Notamacropus eugenii: one gene and its partner. The protein of the gene in region 1 binds, or shares a complex with, the protein of each later gene. Links are inferred from orthologs where the notes say so. Each region holds a gene or a part of one and is shown on either strand. Other genes may lie near its edges.

Region 1 (6,918 bases):
TTTAATTGTCTAATGAGTGGCACAGATTAATGACTCAGCAAATGGAAGGATGCAGGAGTCAGGACTCAAGTTCAACCTTTAAGAATGTATATAATTTATGAAGACCAATGAGATGAGGAAGATGCTTGTAAGCAAAGGTAACAGCAAGATCAAACACACAGAAATGAGAAAGCATGGAGTGGCGTGCCAGACGGAAAGTGAAGAGATGGTCTGGCTAGAATAAAGAGGTAGTATACAGTAAGAGAGGCTTGGTCAGACTGTGGAATTTCTTTTCTGGGGCAGGATACCAAGAACTGTCAATTACTTTGTTTTCAAATCATACCATTCTACTCTGATTAATTTTGATTCCACAGGGATCAGACATTTGGGGCTGGAGGGGACATCAGAGGCCACCTAGTCCATCTTGAAAAGGGGGAAATTTAGTCCCAGCAAAGTTGTGTCTTGCCCAAGATCACACAGACGACAACGTCTTTTTACAAATTCAGGCAGAAGTAGGACTTGAACCCAGATTCTGACCGCCCAGCCAGTGCTCCTTCCATTGTACCAGGATGGTGGGATGTTCAATTCCTTCTTCCCCAGTGAAGGATATAGATCCTGGTTTTGTCTTTCAGCACTGATGCCCCACAACCCCTTTCCCTCCAAAAAAACTGACCCCAAGAAGAAGGTTTTAGGGGCTGACTTTTTAAAAAAAAAATTGTAATCACTGTGTTTATCATTTTACTATTTCTGCTTACTCCACTCTGCATCAATTCAAATGTTATGTTCCCTTTCTCTGAATTCCTCATACTTGTTTCTTACAACCATTCCTTAATCAGCACATACTCACTGTTTCAAGTTTTTTGCTACTATAAAAAGTGTAGCTGTGAATAATTTGGGATATATGTGTATATATATGTATATATGTATATATATATACACACATCTATGCATATTTATGTGTATACACAAGCATGCACACACACACACACATACACCCCGCCTTTCTGTCTTTGACTTCTTTGAGGTATATGCCCCAAAGTTAAAACTCCAGGTCAAAGACTATCAAACTTTTGAAACTCAGACTTTGTGATCAATTTGAATTAAAACCTGAGCCTAAATGCTATGTAAAATTTGATTTAGGAGGTGAAGCTGGTGTTCACAGTACAGTTTTCGGGCTCCTTACCTTTCTCAATCATATCCTTTGTCCGTGGTCGAGGAAGTTTGATGAACATGTTTCCAAAGCAAACCATCACTTTATCTGAAACAGTAAATAGTGCATGGTCAGCTTGATAAATCAGCAAGTATTTACTAAGCGCCTACTATGTGCCAGGCACTGTGGGACACAAATACTAAAAATGAAACAATTCCTACTCTTGAAACGCTTACATTCTAATGGAGGAAACCACAGGTATATATGTGGCATATCAAGAGATACAAATACATTTAAAGTAGTTTGGGAGGGAGGACGCTAGAAGCTGTTGGGGGATGTGGAGAATCAAAAAAGGCTCTTACAAAGATAAGGAGACAAGCCAGAATAAGGGCACTAGTCGTACCCCTCACTGAGGCCAGTATCTTTGGGGCTAATGCCAAATTTAGCTAGTGATACTCAAGGACTCTTGAAGCAGAGTTTTTAGTGGATTTGGAAGTCAGAAAGACAGGGCCTCACATCCTTCCTCATCCTTACTGTCTGACCCTGCTCAGTCCCAATTTCCTCATCTATAAAACAGGGATACTAGTATTTATCTCACAAGGTTATTGTAAGAATTGGATAAGATAACATGTAGGGCACTTCACAAATCCTCAAGCGCTATATGTCCACTATTACGAGTATTCTCTGTAAGACTTCATGTATCCATAATTCCCTAAGGAAGGTGCTAGAATTTAAGACCTAGTTTGGCCAAAAAGAAAGAAAGAAAGAAAATGGAGATCTCTAACCACTTCTGTACACTCATGTTTTTAAAAAATAAAATACCGAAAAAAGCCCCACAACCCTATCTTACTATACAGGAAAGTAATGTCAAACAAACAAAAAAAAAGGAATTTATATCCATGTCCCCAAAGGCATTTACTGTATATAGTGTTCTGGACCCAATATGTAAGTGATGTGAATTCTGGATGTAAATATTCCATCTGATTTGGTTTTCTTCGTCTTTCCCTCCCCTCTTGGCTCTACTGCTGTGATGTAGAATAAAAGACGTTTAACTGATACTGACCCTAAAAGAAAAAAGTCACAGTAAATCCAGTCTTGCTGACACTCAACATTCCTAAAAGTTAGAGAACACCAGTTCCACCGAAGCTGCCGTTTCCAAGCACAGTCTTCTAGGGCGCAGGGTCAGTGCTCGGAACCCAAAGCTGGGCCAGAGGCCGAATGTTCCCCACAAGCGGCGCAGGGGAGGAAGCACCCCAGCATGGGCAGGCGGCTCTACGTGGACTCCAGGGTCACCCCTGGAAGGGCGTGCAGAGGCCGGGGAGTGACCCGCATGACCCCAGACCCCGCTCGCCCCCAACTCACCCGACTGGCTGGGGTCTCTCTGAAGGGCCCTCAGGGCTTCCCGGTTCTGGTTCCTTTTCAAGTCCAGGTCCACTATCTAGGAGAAAGCCAGACGTCAGGGTGGGGCCGAGAGGGGGGAGGGGATCAGAGGCGCAATCTTGGCCCGTTCCTCCCCCCCATCCTCCGCCCCCGGGCCTCAGTTTCCTTCTTTGTGCAAGGACCAGGCTCAAAGTCGGGGAAAGGAAAAAATGGAGGAGTACGGAGAGCAGGAATCTGAGAGCGCGTTCTCCTCGCTCCTGGGCCCTTGGCGAACCTGCTGCTTGTCGGCCAGCACCTCCTCAGCCAGCTCCTCTACCTCCCCCAGGTAGAGCAACACACGTTCGGCTTCCGCCCCCAACATGACTCCGGCAATGGTGCGGTTCGGCAGTCTCCCTGTGCGCATGCGCCAGCCACGCAGGCACGCTACGTAGTCGCACGCGGCCGCCGGCGCGCGCGGGGCACGTAGGTCAGGACGCACGCCCGGGGGCGGGGCGGGGGAAATGAAGGGGAGGACGGCCTCTGGGGCCACGTGACGACGCCTTCTGGGCCCGCGGGAGTTGGGCGGGGACGCACGTGTGCTGGTACTTTGGCGCCTCCGTCCGGTGGAGCTCAGGCTTTGCTCTGGAAGTCCTCAAGTCCGAAAGTGACAGCTGCGAGAAGGGTCACCTTCTCCCGCACGCCCAGGACTCGGGGCGAGTCCTACGGTGGGGAGAGTGGAGTGAATCTCACACCGTGTCCTCCCCTCCCCCCGCCCTTTCCTCCTCCTCTTCATCATGGGTCCTGCTCGGTGGAGCTTGGGGCAGGTGCATGGTGCAGGTGTGGACGGACTTTCCAGAAGCCTAGGTCAGGCTCTCCCTGCTTAGGTCCACAGCTATGGCCCTGACCTAGAAGGGAAGAGCTACCTGTGGACTGGAGGAGTCAAAAGAACGTTTTCAGGAAGAAGCTAGATGATGATCATTACAGGATCTATATGACCCTGGAAAAGTTCCTTCTCTGTAAAATGACGTGATTCAGATTCAAAAATTTTAACTAAACACACTTTATTATGTTATAAAAAAACTCTAGCTTTCACTGCTTTAGGAATTTTCTGGTGCAAATAATTTGGTATGTTGAAAGAAAAGGAATTGCTCTAAGAACAATAATATTTTTATCAGGGAGGCAAAATTACAGTCTTTGACCTTCAACATATATTATTCTTATCCTCAGCAGATGTAACAAGGGGGTCCTCTCTAAAACTTGGGTTTTCTGGCCCTAAACTAGGACTAATAAGTATATATAAGTTTGAAAGAGACAGATTTGGGCTTCATCCCTAGTGGTGGTATGGGCTTGGTGTACACTTGGTGCTGCAGAAGGAATATTATTCCACAGCCCCTTTTTCTACTCTCTGAAAACTTCAGAAAAACAGGCTATCAATGAATTCATTTGCTAATTAATTAGCCTTGGCAGCTAGGTGGTGCAGTGGATGGAGTCCTGGGTCTAGAATTAGGAAGACTCATCTTCATGAGTTCAAATCTGACCTCAGACACTTCCTAGCTACATGACCCTGGGCAAGTCATTTAACCCTATTTGTCTCAGTTTCTTCATCTGTAAAATAAGCTGGAGAAGGAAATGGCAAACCAACCATTTTCTTTACCAAGAAAGCCCCAACTGGGGTCATGAAGAGTCAGATGTGACTGAAAAACAATTGAATAACAATAAAATTAATTAACCTACAAGGGAATATGGCCACAGGTGGCTCAACTCTGGGTCTACCAGCCAAGTTACTCTGTATTCATGCACCACCTTCCCAAAAGGCTCCCTCCACCCTCCAGGCTATTCAGCCTATAAACTCATAACACTGAGCCTCATGGAGCTATGCCATTTCATGATACCTTGAATTTATCATTGAACTTCATATGGCTCAAGGTGTATAATATAGAATATATTTCAGCATTACTAAACTAGAAAATCAGTCATCTATCCTTTAAAACCTTCAGCCCACATTTGAAAATTTTACTTTTCACCAATTGTCTTCATTTATAAGACTTAGATGATTGAGTTTCTAGTGATTACATGATTTATTAAAACAACTTTATGTAAAGGTTACTACCTTCAGATCTTTGCCATGATCACCACAGGTCTTTAGGATCAATCTCATTTCTTTTGTTAACACACACACAAAAAAAAAGGTTTAGGGATAGGGCTGAGCAATCCTACACACACACTTTATCCTGCTTTCTCATAACTTGTGCAGTTTCATTCAGAGGGGCAGCTAGGTGGTGCAGTGGATAGAGCACACCAGTGCAGGAGTCAGGAGGACCTGTGTTCAAATCTCACCTCAGACACTTGACACTCACTAGCTGTGTGACCTTGAGCAAGTCACTTACCCCCAATTGCCTCATCCTGGGTCATCTCCAGTCATCCTGATGAATATCTGGTCACTGGATTCAGATGGCTCTGGAGGAGAAGTGAGGCTGGTGACCTGCACAGCCCTCCCTCACTCAAAACAAAGTCAAGTGCAAGTCATGTCATTATTTCTCTGATGGCATGGTCTTCTTCGGCAAGGAAGGACAAACACACGCAGTTTCGTTCTGGTCCCAAACCAAGATTGTCATTATAAATATTTAAGTACGTTTAAGCAAAAACTTTCTAACAATTTCAAGTACTAGTTGGCTTAGATGGCCTTTGTGGCTCTGTCCAACACCAAGATTCTTAAATTCTGTGTAGCCCCTTCTCTGGGAGCTAATCCTCATCCTGAAGGTTGCAGATTAGACCCCAGAGTAGGAGAGGGACTGGATGCTCCCAGGTTTCAAGGATATCCTATGAGTCTACAATCCTAAAACTTTAGTTCACAAACCGCCAGGCATCCTCTTAACAATTAACTCAAAGCAAAAAACACTTACAGAAGATGGCATAGTAAAAACAGTAGGTTCAAAACATTCCTTCCATAAGCCTGGAATATGCATTCCCACAAATACACACAGTGGGAAGAGTGAGTACAAACTTATGAATATAATGGCAGTGAGTCCCACACGTAGGAAACACAGGAAAACAAGGCAACTCCCACGGCTATTACTGTAGGACCTTGATTTCCTTTCTCTCCTTGTGCTGTTCCTCTTAGCAGTATCTCTGCTGGACAGGTCACCTAGATGTGCTCCCAGGGTCTGTTTTTCTCACCAGCTTGATTCTTGATTGCCAGGCTAGTCCATAGCCAGGTTTTTTTCTTTGCTCCCAGAGGTTCTGCCCACAACTTACTTCTGACATAAGTTCCTCAACTAGACTCCTTCCCTGAGTCTGTGTTTTTCTGAAGACTGTGTGTCTCTCATGTGTGTCCCTGTTAGATGCATTTCAACTATATCTTGAACTCTCACATTAACTCTGAAACTGTTTTTAAGGGTGATCCAGGACAGGACCAATCTCTTGCCCACATAACGTCCAAATTCTAATTCAATCAAGGACATTTTTCACACTTTATAAAAGGGCCTTCTCCTTTTTTTGGGAGATTCTTACTTTCTTATATTTTGGAGGTGTACTGGTCAACAACCAGTTTCAACTCTCAGCCCTTCCCCTATCTATAAATCCAAATTTTTTCTACTGAAAATCCTGCTTATACATATCACACATATCCCATCTGTTGTCAAGCCTTGTCCCTTTCTCTCCACTCACACAGCTGCCAGCTTGGTACAGACCCTCATCACCTTATGACTAGACTAATGCAATCAACTTTTCATCATTCTCCCTGCCTCAAATCTATCCTCCACTCAGTGGCCAAATCATTTTCCTAAAGTACAGGTTGATCTTGGCTCTCTATTACCTTCAGGATCCAATAAAAAATGCTTTATGACCTTCCCCCCTTACCTTTCAATCTTCTTAAACTTTATTCCCCTTTCTGTATTCTACAACCCAGCCACAATTATCTATTTGCTCATCTTCATAGGGGATTCTCCATTTTCTGATTCTGATTCTTTCCCCATGTCTGGAATACTCTTCCTTCCTTACTTCTCCTAGATTCTCTGGCCTCCTTCAAGACTCAGCTTATATCCCACCTTCTACTTTCGCTGTCTGTCTCCCCCTGCCCCTCATTTTGTTAGTGCCTGGCCTCCGAGATGGCCTTCCACTTACACTGTATGTATCTTATACGTACATAGTTAATTGCATGCTCTCTCCCCCATTAGCATGTGAGCTCCTTGAGGCCAGGGACCATGTTTTTTTTTTCTTTCTTTGTATTCCCAGTGCTTAGCATAGTGCCTGACACATAACTGGTACTTAACAAATGCTTGTTGACAAAGTGACTACGACCACATGGTGTCAGATTGGGTGAAGAGGGATGAGGAGAGATGATAGTTTGTGGAGTAATTTAGAGGTCCCTCATCTCTAGAATGAGTGAATTAGAGTAAGGTACAAGGGATTTTAGAGTTCTGAATTCTACC
Region 2 (6,365 bases), on another chromosome or scaffold:
CTGGATATGTACCAACTCTCATGACATCTGTGGTCTATTCCAAAATCCCAGTCTTACAAAAGTCGTGTGTGGCGAGGCTAAGTACGTCACTAATCTTTTGGGGTTAATAGCGTGGAATACAATGATAGCTTCGTCATCATGACTGCTGACCGTCGAATAACATAAAAACTTCTTGTGTTTTGGTCAAAAAATGTATCTGCCTTTCATCTTTGGGCTAGGATATAAATACCTCTTTTCTTCCCATGTAGGGGCTTCAAGCTTCTGTATGAATGTAATATTTGATTATACTAGCTAGAGTAAAAGAATGAAGAGTTGAGGGTATGGGTGAAAGTACAACTTAAGCTTCTAACCAGACTCAGCAGCCCCACCCACTAGGAAAGAAATGAGGTTGAATGGACAGAACCAAGGTGGAACTATGGTTAGTATGAGAATTGGGGAGGGAGAAGGAAGGGAGGCAAGAGAACAGATCAAAGTAATGTAACTGGGTGGTTAGAAAACAAGGCAGGGGTCAGGTATTTTCACATTTTATTTGCCACAGTGCAGGTAACCCACAGTCTTTCCCTACTTTATTCTCTCCCCAACCAAGGAGGTCAAACCTTTCCCATAGACCCTGCCTTGGCAGCCTGGGCACGCTGGAACTCCTGCTGCAACTGAGCCAGAGCTTCACGTTGTTTTTCAGATTGCTTCTCCAGATCTCGGAGCTGAGATTCATATCGTTTACTAAAGAGAAATAGGAAAAACACAAAAAGATAATCATGCTAGCTGCTTCACAAGTTTGTCGGGGGAAAAAAGGGCTTAAGACAATTGTACAGCGGTACATTAGTGAGCTATTGAGGGGTCAACATGACTTACTACTGGGGAACAGATGGAATTAAAAGGGAGACAAAAAAAGAAGAAAAGTTGAAGTATATGTGACAATGAAACGAAAACAACATCACATTAACATAAGATACAGTCAAATGTGGTGGTGGGGCAGGAAGGGAGGATAATACTTACATCTCTGCTGTGATATAGTCCAGTCGCTTGCCCACAGTAGCTCGGGCCTCCCCCAGTTCCTGTTTGACCAACACTGGGCCCAGAAGCTTAAACACCACATTGGATCCATCCAATAATGCTAACTCCTGGGGATGGAGAGAAACAGTTGGAGACACAAAATGCCTGGAAGTGCCTCATGGCTCCTGGACACCTCCAAACCTGGTCCCTCACCTCTTTTACGATGTTATTTTCTGTCAGTTGTGCCTCCAGTTTCTGTCGACTAGACATAGATTTACTCAAGTCTGGGGTGGGAAGAAATGGGAAAAGAAAAAAATAAAGAAAAACTGAATGAAAATCTGATAACCTGAAACACCCTCAGTCCCAATAAATCAAAGAGAGTCGTGTCGTGGGTAGGGTCTGGCGTGGATGAAGTCACAAACACTAATGATGAAGCCATTTTAAACAACAGATCAAAATTTATACACAAAGCACTTATTTCCTCCCTCTCTGCACCACCACGGCCTGCGAATGGAGGGCAGGAATGACAATGCCCATTTTACAGATGAGGAAAACAAGGCCTGGAGAGGGGAGATGACACAACAGCCAGCACTTAAGAATCTTTTTGTAATACTCCCTTCAGAAGGAGGGAATTTGGACCCAGGCTGGGTGGCACATAGGGGTCCCGTGGGAGGCTTCCCTGAATGGCTAGCAGAGAAGCACCGGGTCTGGGTGGGCGTGTGCCGAGGCAGCTCCGAGCCCCTCCTCACTCACCCTTTTGGAGCTGCTGGTACTTCTCCAATTCCCCCTGGAGCTTTTTCTGAATCACCTCCGCCATGGCTTGGAGAAGGGCCCGGGAATCTCAGGAAGGAGGCGTGGGAGAGTGTCACTCCACAACCGGCAGCCTGGAGGCCCGCCTCGGCCGCTACACGCGCTCCTAACCCTCCTGACCCGAAGAAAGATCCTGAGCCACACACAGCGGTCCTGCACTTTCCCCTAGCACAGCTCCGGAACCCGGAGGTAGATAGGGGATGCTGGGAAAACAAGAGGCACATGGCAAATGACGGGCGGAAAAAGGACAACGTAGGCACAGGGTACGCCGGGAAATGTAGTCCTAACATCCAGACCAGGCCGCCGGAAAGATCGGCTCCTCGAACGGATTCGGCGGCGGAACATGAGCCTCAAGAAAATACAAGGCAACGCTGTTGTCGATTCTTGAAGTCCTCCCTGGCTCTCCACTTTCATCCTTCATTTCTCATCTATTACCGACACGTCATGATCGCCGCGCCGGTGTCCGACATCTCCGCCAGAGGATACAACTTTACCCAACGTGGCTTCCGGAAGACAGCTGTCTTGGATTGGTGGCTAGTCTTCGGGCTCCGCCCACTCCAACTACGACTTCCGGTGTCTTCCTTCAGTTGATGGTGGGACCGTGGAGTGGCCTTTGCACGTGGGTTTTGGAGGAGTTTTGGGACCGAGGCGCATGGAAGAGGCTCCAAAGTCGGGCAGCGGGGCCCGGGTCAAGGCCCAGGGCAAGAAACAGGTATGGTGTGCCTCTGCCCCTTGTCCCGGCGGGGCAAGCGGGAGGGACCAAGGACGACCCGAGCCGGTGGGCCATCCCATTTCTTCTTGGTTGTGAGTGGCAGCACTCATGTTATTAGTCTAAATCCATAATTCTTAATTTTGTTGATGTCGTGGGCTGCTTTGCAGTCTGCTGTTATTTAGAAAAGTATTTTAATGGCATAGAGCAAAATTCATGACATCCGGCAAAATATTAAAAATCAAATTGATGGTCTAGTAGTAGATGGGCTTCTTTATTAGCGCGATGAATACTAATACAATACTTTTAAAATATAAGCAAGTTGAAGTGAAATTTTGTTTTTTAAAGATATATCAGTGTGAAGGCTGTTATTGCTGAACTTGACTAAGAAGTTAAATTATTGGGTTGTCTTTCACAAGACAACAGGCTTGTCATTTTGGATATCCGTGTGGATTTTGGTTTTTTGTCTTGATGGTTACAAGCGTTTTAGAAGCCATATTCACAAATTTGTGTTATTGCAAATGGAATTAAAGTTTCTACTGCTTGCATTATAAAGGGAAGGTAGCCTAATCTCAAGTAACACTAGAATTCATTTTTTGGTATAGTATTTAAGTGGCTTTTTTTGGGGGGGGCTAAATCTGTGTAGATATCAGTAGTTCACATTTTTTGGTAAGTGAAGTGTGTAAGACATACAACAAATTGTATGACAAGTAAGTAAAATGAGACAGGTTTTACAATTTATTCAAAGTTTTAGCACTTTTCAGTCTTCAATGCCCAGGCGTCATGTCTTTACTTGACATAGTTTGGGTGTGGGGTGAGAAAGAGTCTGGCCTGCAAAAATCTTGCTGTCCCCTGCTCATCCCTACCTCGTTTTTTCCAGAAACCTCGACGCTACTGGGAAGGGGAAACTGATGGAGCCAATTCCCTCCCATCCGACCCTTTCACTGCCCCTGCCCCTGCCAGGGGGACCAAGAGGAATAGGGAAGACTGGTCCCAGTCCAGGGGTGTCAGGGTACCTAAGAGGTCAAAGCAGAACCAGAAGCATCTGAGATCCAAGCAGAACCAGAAGCATCTGAGGTCGAAGCAGAACCAGAAGCATCTGAGGCCAAACAATAAACAAGAGCTGAGACCAAGTCAGACCTTATCTGGGGTAAGATTCAGGTTGGGAAACAGGGAGCCTTGATCCTTGGGTCAGTAGGTAAAACTAAGAGGATCTCGTCAGCCCTCAACCAGTCTTCCTCTCATGCCCCTGTCACTTTCTGAGGTGTTTTGATATGGATTTTGTGGATGGAGGGGAAAGAGCAGGATCTCTCTGTAGAATTAAGGTAGCAGGTCAAAGTGAGAGTAAACAAAAGGTCTGGAGAGGAATGGGAAGGAATTTGGAGGAAAGAATGAAGTGGTGGGACCATTAGAATGCCTCATTAGCCTAAATTTACACTTAAATAGCGGTTCACCCAGAAAAGTAGATCTTGGGTTTCAAAGTACTCTGTAAATGTGAGGCATTGTAACAGTAAAAGCATGAGGGAGGAGGAAGGGATACCATCTCTGATGCAAAACTTCATCTTATCACCTCTAGGCTCAGGATCCATTCCCAGGGCCAGCCCCACTCTCAGAGGCTGCTATAAATAAGTTCCGAAGAGGCAGTTCTAAATTGGTGAAGGTAAGAAGGCAAATTGGGGAGGAGCAGCAGAGGGTCTTAATGTCCATCCAGTGATTGAGAAAGAAGACCTGAAGTTGACAGTCTTTCATCACTCACCTGTGACCTTTTATTTTCCCATTCTTCATTGTTGATTCACCAGTTATTGAGAAGGAAGAGTTAGGGTTCTCAGTCCTCTGATTTGTAACCTATGACCTTTGATTCATCATTCTCTCAGAAGCATCCCCTTAAGTTGGTGACTGAGCACAAACTCAAGGCAGCTGCTGATGAAGAAGAGGAAACAAGTGTCCGTGCAGCCCGGGCCGAATTATTGCTGTCTGAGGAGCCTGGGTAAGTGAGCTATTCTTGCTTGGCATCTTCTTGTTCCACTTTCAGAGGTCAGTAACCACAGCCCCTGGGATCTAACCTGTGTTGTGGTTGTCCCCTATCTCCCTCTCCATCCCCTTCTCATACCCAGCATTCTCAGTTCTGCTGAACTCTGTCCTAGTGAACTTTTCAATGAGCCCTCATTCTTCACAGATTCCTTGAGGGAGAGGCAGGGGAAGACACAGCTACAATCCGCCAGGCTGACATTGTAGAGGCTGTGGACATTGCAAGTGCGGCTAAGGTGAGGTTGAAGGCTGGGAAGGAACTGATGATGATGATGTGGAGAAGACAGCTATATCATGATGAGTGGGTGGGAGGATTTCCAGGCTTGGCTGACCTCCTGCATGTCTCTGTACTTAGCACAGTGCTTGGCACATGGTAGGTGCTATATACGTGCTTATTCCCTTTCCCTTTCCTTCATAATGTAGCATTTTGACCTGAACTTGTACCAGTTTGGACCCTACAGGATCAATTACTCACGGACTGGAAGGTGAGGGACTTTCTCCAGTTTGCATAGTGAACCTTTCTCACAATGTTCTTTTCCAGCACAATGCTTGGCACATAGTAGGTGCTTAATAAATATTGATTGATTGATTTTCTCATCCAAGGGCAGTGAGGTCTCTTTGTCAGTAACACTCTGCTGCCTTCACTCACTGTCTTTTTCTGGGTGGGGGAGAGAGATTTAAGGTATCAATAACTGTATGCATATATTCTTTTGACCAAATATCTGTGTCCTCCTTTTTTGGGGGGTGGGGGGGGAGCGCAAAGCAGAGCTCTAGGTACTAAGGGTTCCTAACACTAGGATATCTGTTTTTCTCTTCCACCAGACACCTTGCCCTGGGTGGCCGGAGAGGTCATGTGGCCACATTTGACTGGATAACAAAGAAATTAATGTGTGAAATCAACGTCATGGAAGCTGTGAGGGACATACGGTCAGTGGGATCCAGGGCCATCATTGAGTGGGTGAGGCTCACTGACCTTATGAGGGTCTCAGGGAGGTTGAGTACCTGACTCATCTTGAGGTCATTTTATGGTTTGTTCTGTGATTCTTGACTCCAGTTTCCTGCACTCTGAGACATTGTTTGCAGTTGCTCAGAAACGCTGGCTTCATGTCTATGATAATCAAGGGATAGAGCTCCACTGTGTCCGAAGGTGTGATCGTATCACAAGACTTGAGTTCCTGCCCTTCCACTTCCTGTTGGTCACAGCTGTGAGTCATGCTCAGGAACTAGGAGAAATTGATTAACCTTGGGAAATGACCTCTCCAACTGTGGAGCAGGAGATGTTTGGCAGAAAGTCTGGTAAAGGGTGTGGATTGGTGTCAGGGTGATGAGGGTGGGAAGAGGCCTTGGTTGTAACTCTCTGTCTCATTTTCTCCACCGTCCAGTCAGAGACAGGGTTCCTTACCTACTTGGATGTGTCTGTCGGCAAGATTGTAGCCTCTCTGGCAGCTCGGGCTGGACGTCTGGATGTGATGACCCAGAATCCCCACAATGCAGTCATCCATCTTGGCCATAGCAATGGTTAGTAAATGTTACGTCCTGACCCATTGCTGCTTTATGTCCTAGGACCCTCTGACCTCCCTTGCTTTTTTCCCTATCCATTCCATAGACCTAGTGGTCAAAGCTGGAAACACTCCTTAGAAATTATTTAGCTCAACCTTCTTGTTTTACAGATCAGCAATTTGAGAACTAGAGATGTTAAGTGATTTAGGGTTAGGGTTGGCAGTCACAGAATTAGTAGTAAGGAACAGAATCAGGACTCAGAACCTGCATCCTCTAACCTGTGTCCGGTGGTCTTTTTACCACATTCTGTTGCTTTTCTCCTAGA

The links. The genes of interacting proteins can lie anywhere in the genome.
Region 2: PDRG1 (region 1) and PFDN6 share a complex: the UniProt entries of both Homo sapiens proteins name them as parts of the PAQosome complex. The link is inferred for Notamacropus eugenii from reciprocal best matches to the Homo sapiens genes PDRG1 and PFDN6.

Annotation. Positions count from the first base shown.
Region 1 is NC_092872.1:431,257,739-431,264,656, reverse strand, and holds the start of PDRG1 (p53 and DNA damage-regulated protein 1), read right to left. Parts: upstream 3,048-6,918; 5' UTR 2,913-3,047; coding exon 2,784-2,912; intron 2,568-2,783; coding exon 2,492-2,567; intron 1,238-2,491; coding exon 1,163-1,237; intron 1-1,162. UniProt on the Homo sapiens protein: May play a role in chaperone-mediated protein folding.
Region 2 is NC_092873.1:89,314,913-89,321,277, reverse strand, and holds PFDN6 (prefoldin subunit 6), read right to left. Parts: upstream 2,084-6,365; 5' UTR 1,811-2,083; coding exon 1,747-1,810; intron 1,278-1,746; coding exon 1,207-1,277; intron 1,122-1,206; coding exon 997-1,121; intron 721-996; coding exon 591-720; 3' UTR 509-590; downstream 1-508. Other genes in the region: WDR46 (WD repeat-containing protein 46), read left to right, coding at 2,456-2,515, 3,393-3,662, 4,089-4,172, 4,387-4,499, 4,689-4,776, 4,964-5,025, 5,363-5,467, 5,595-5,745 and 1 more. UniProt on the Homo sapiens protein: Binds specifically to cytosolic chaperonin (c-CPN) and transfers target proteins to it. Binds to nascent polypeptide chain and promotes folding in an environment in which there are many competing pathways for nonnative proteins.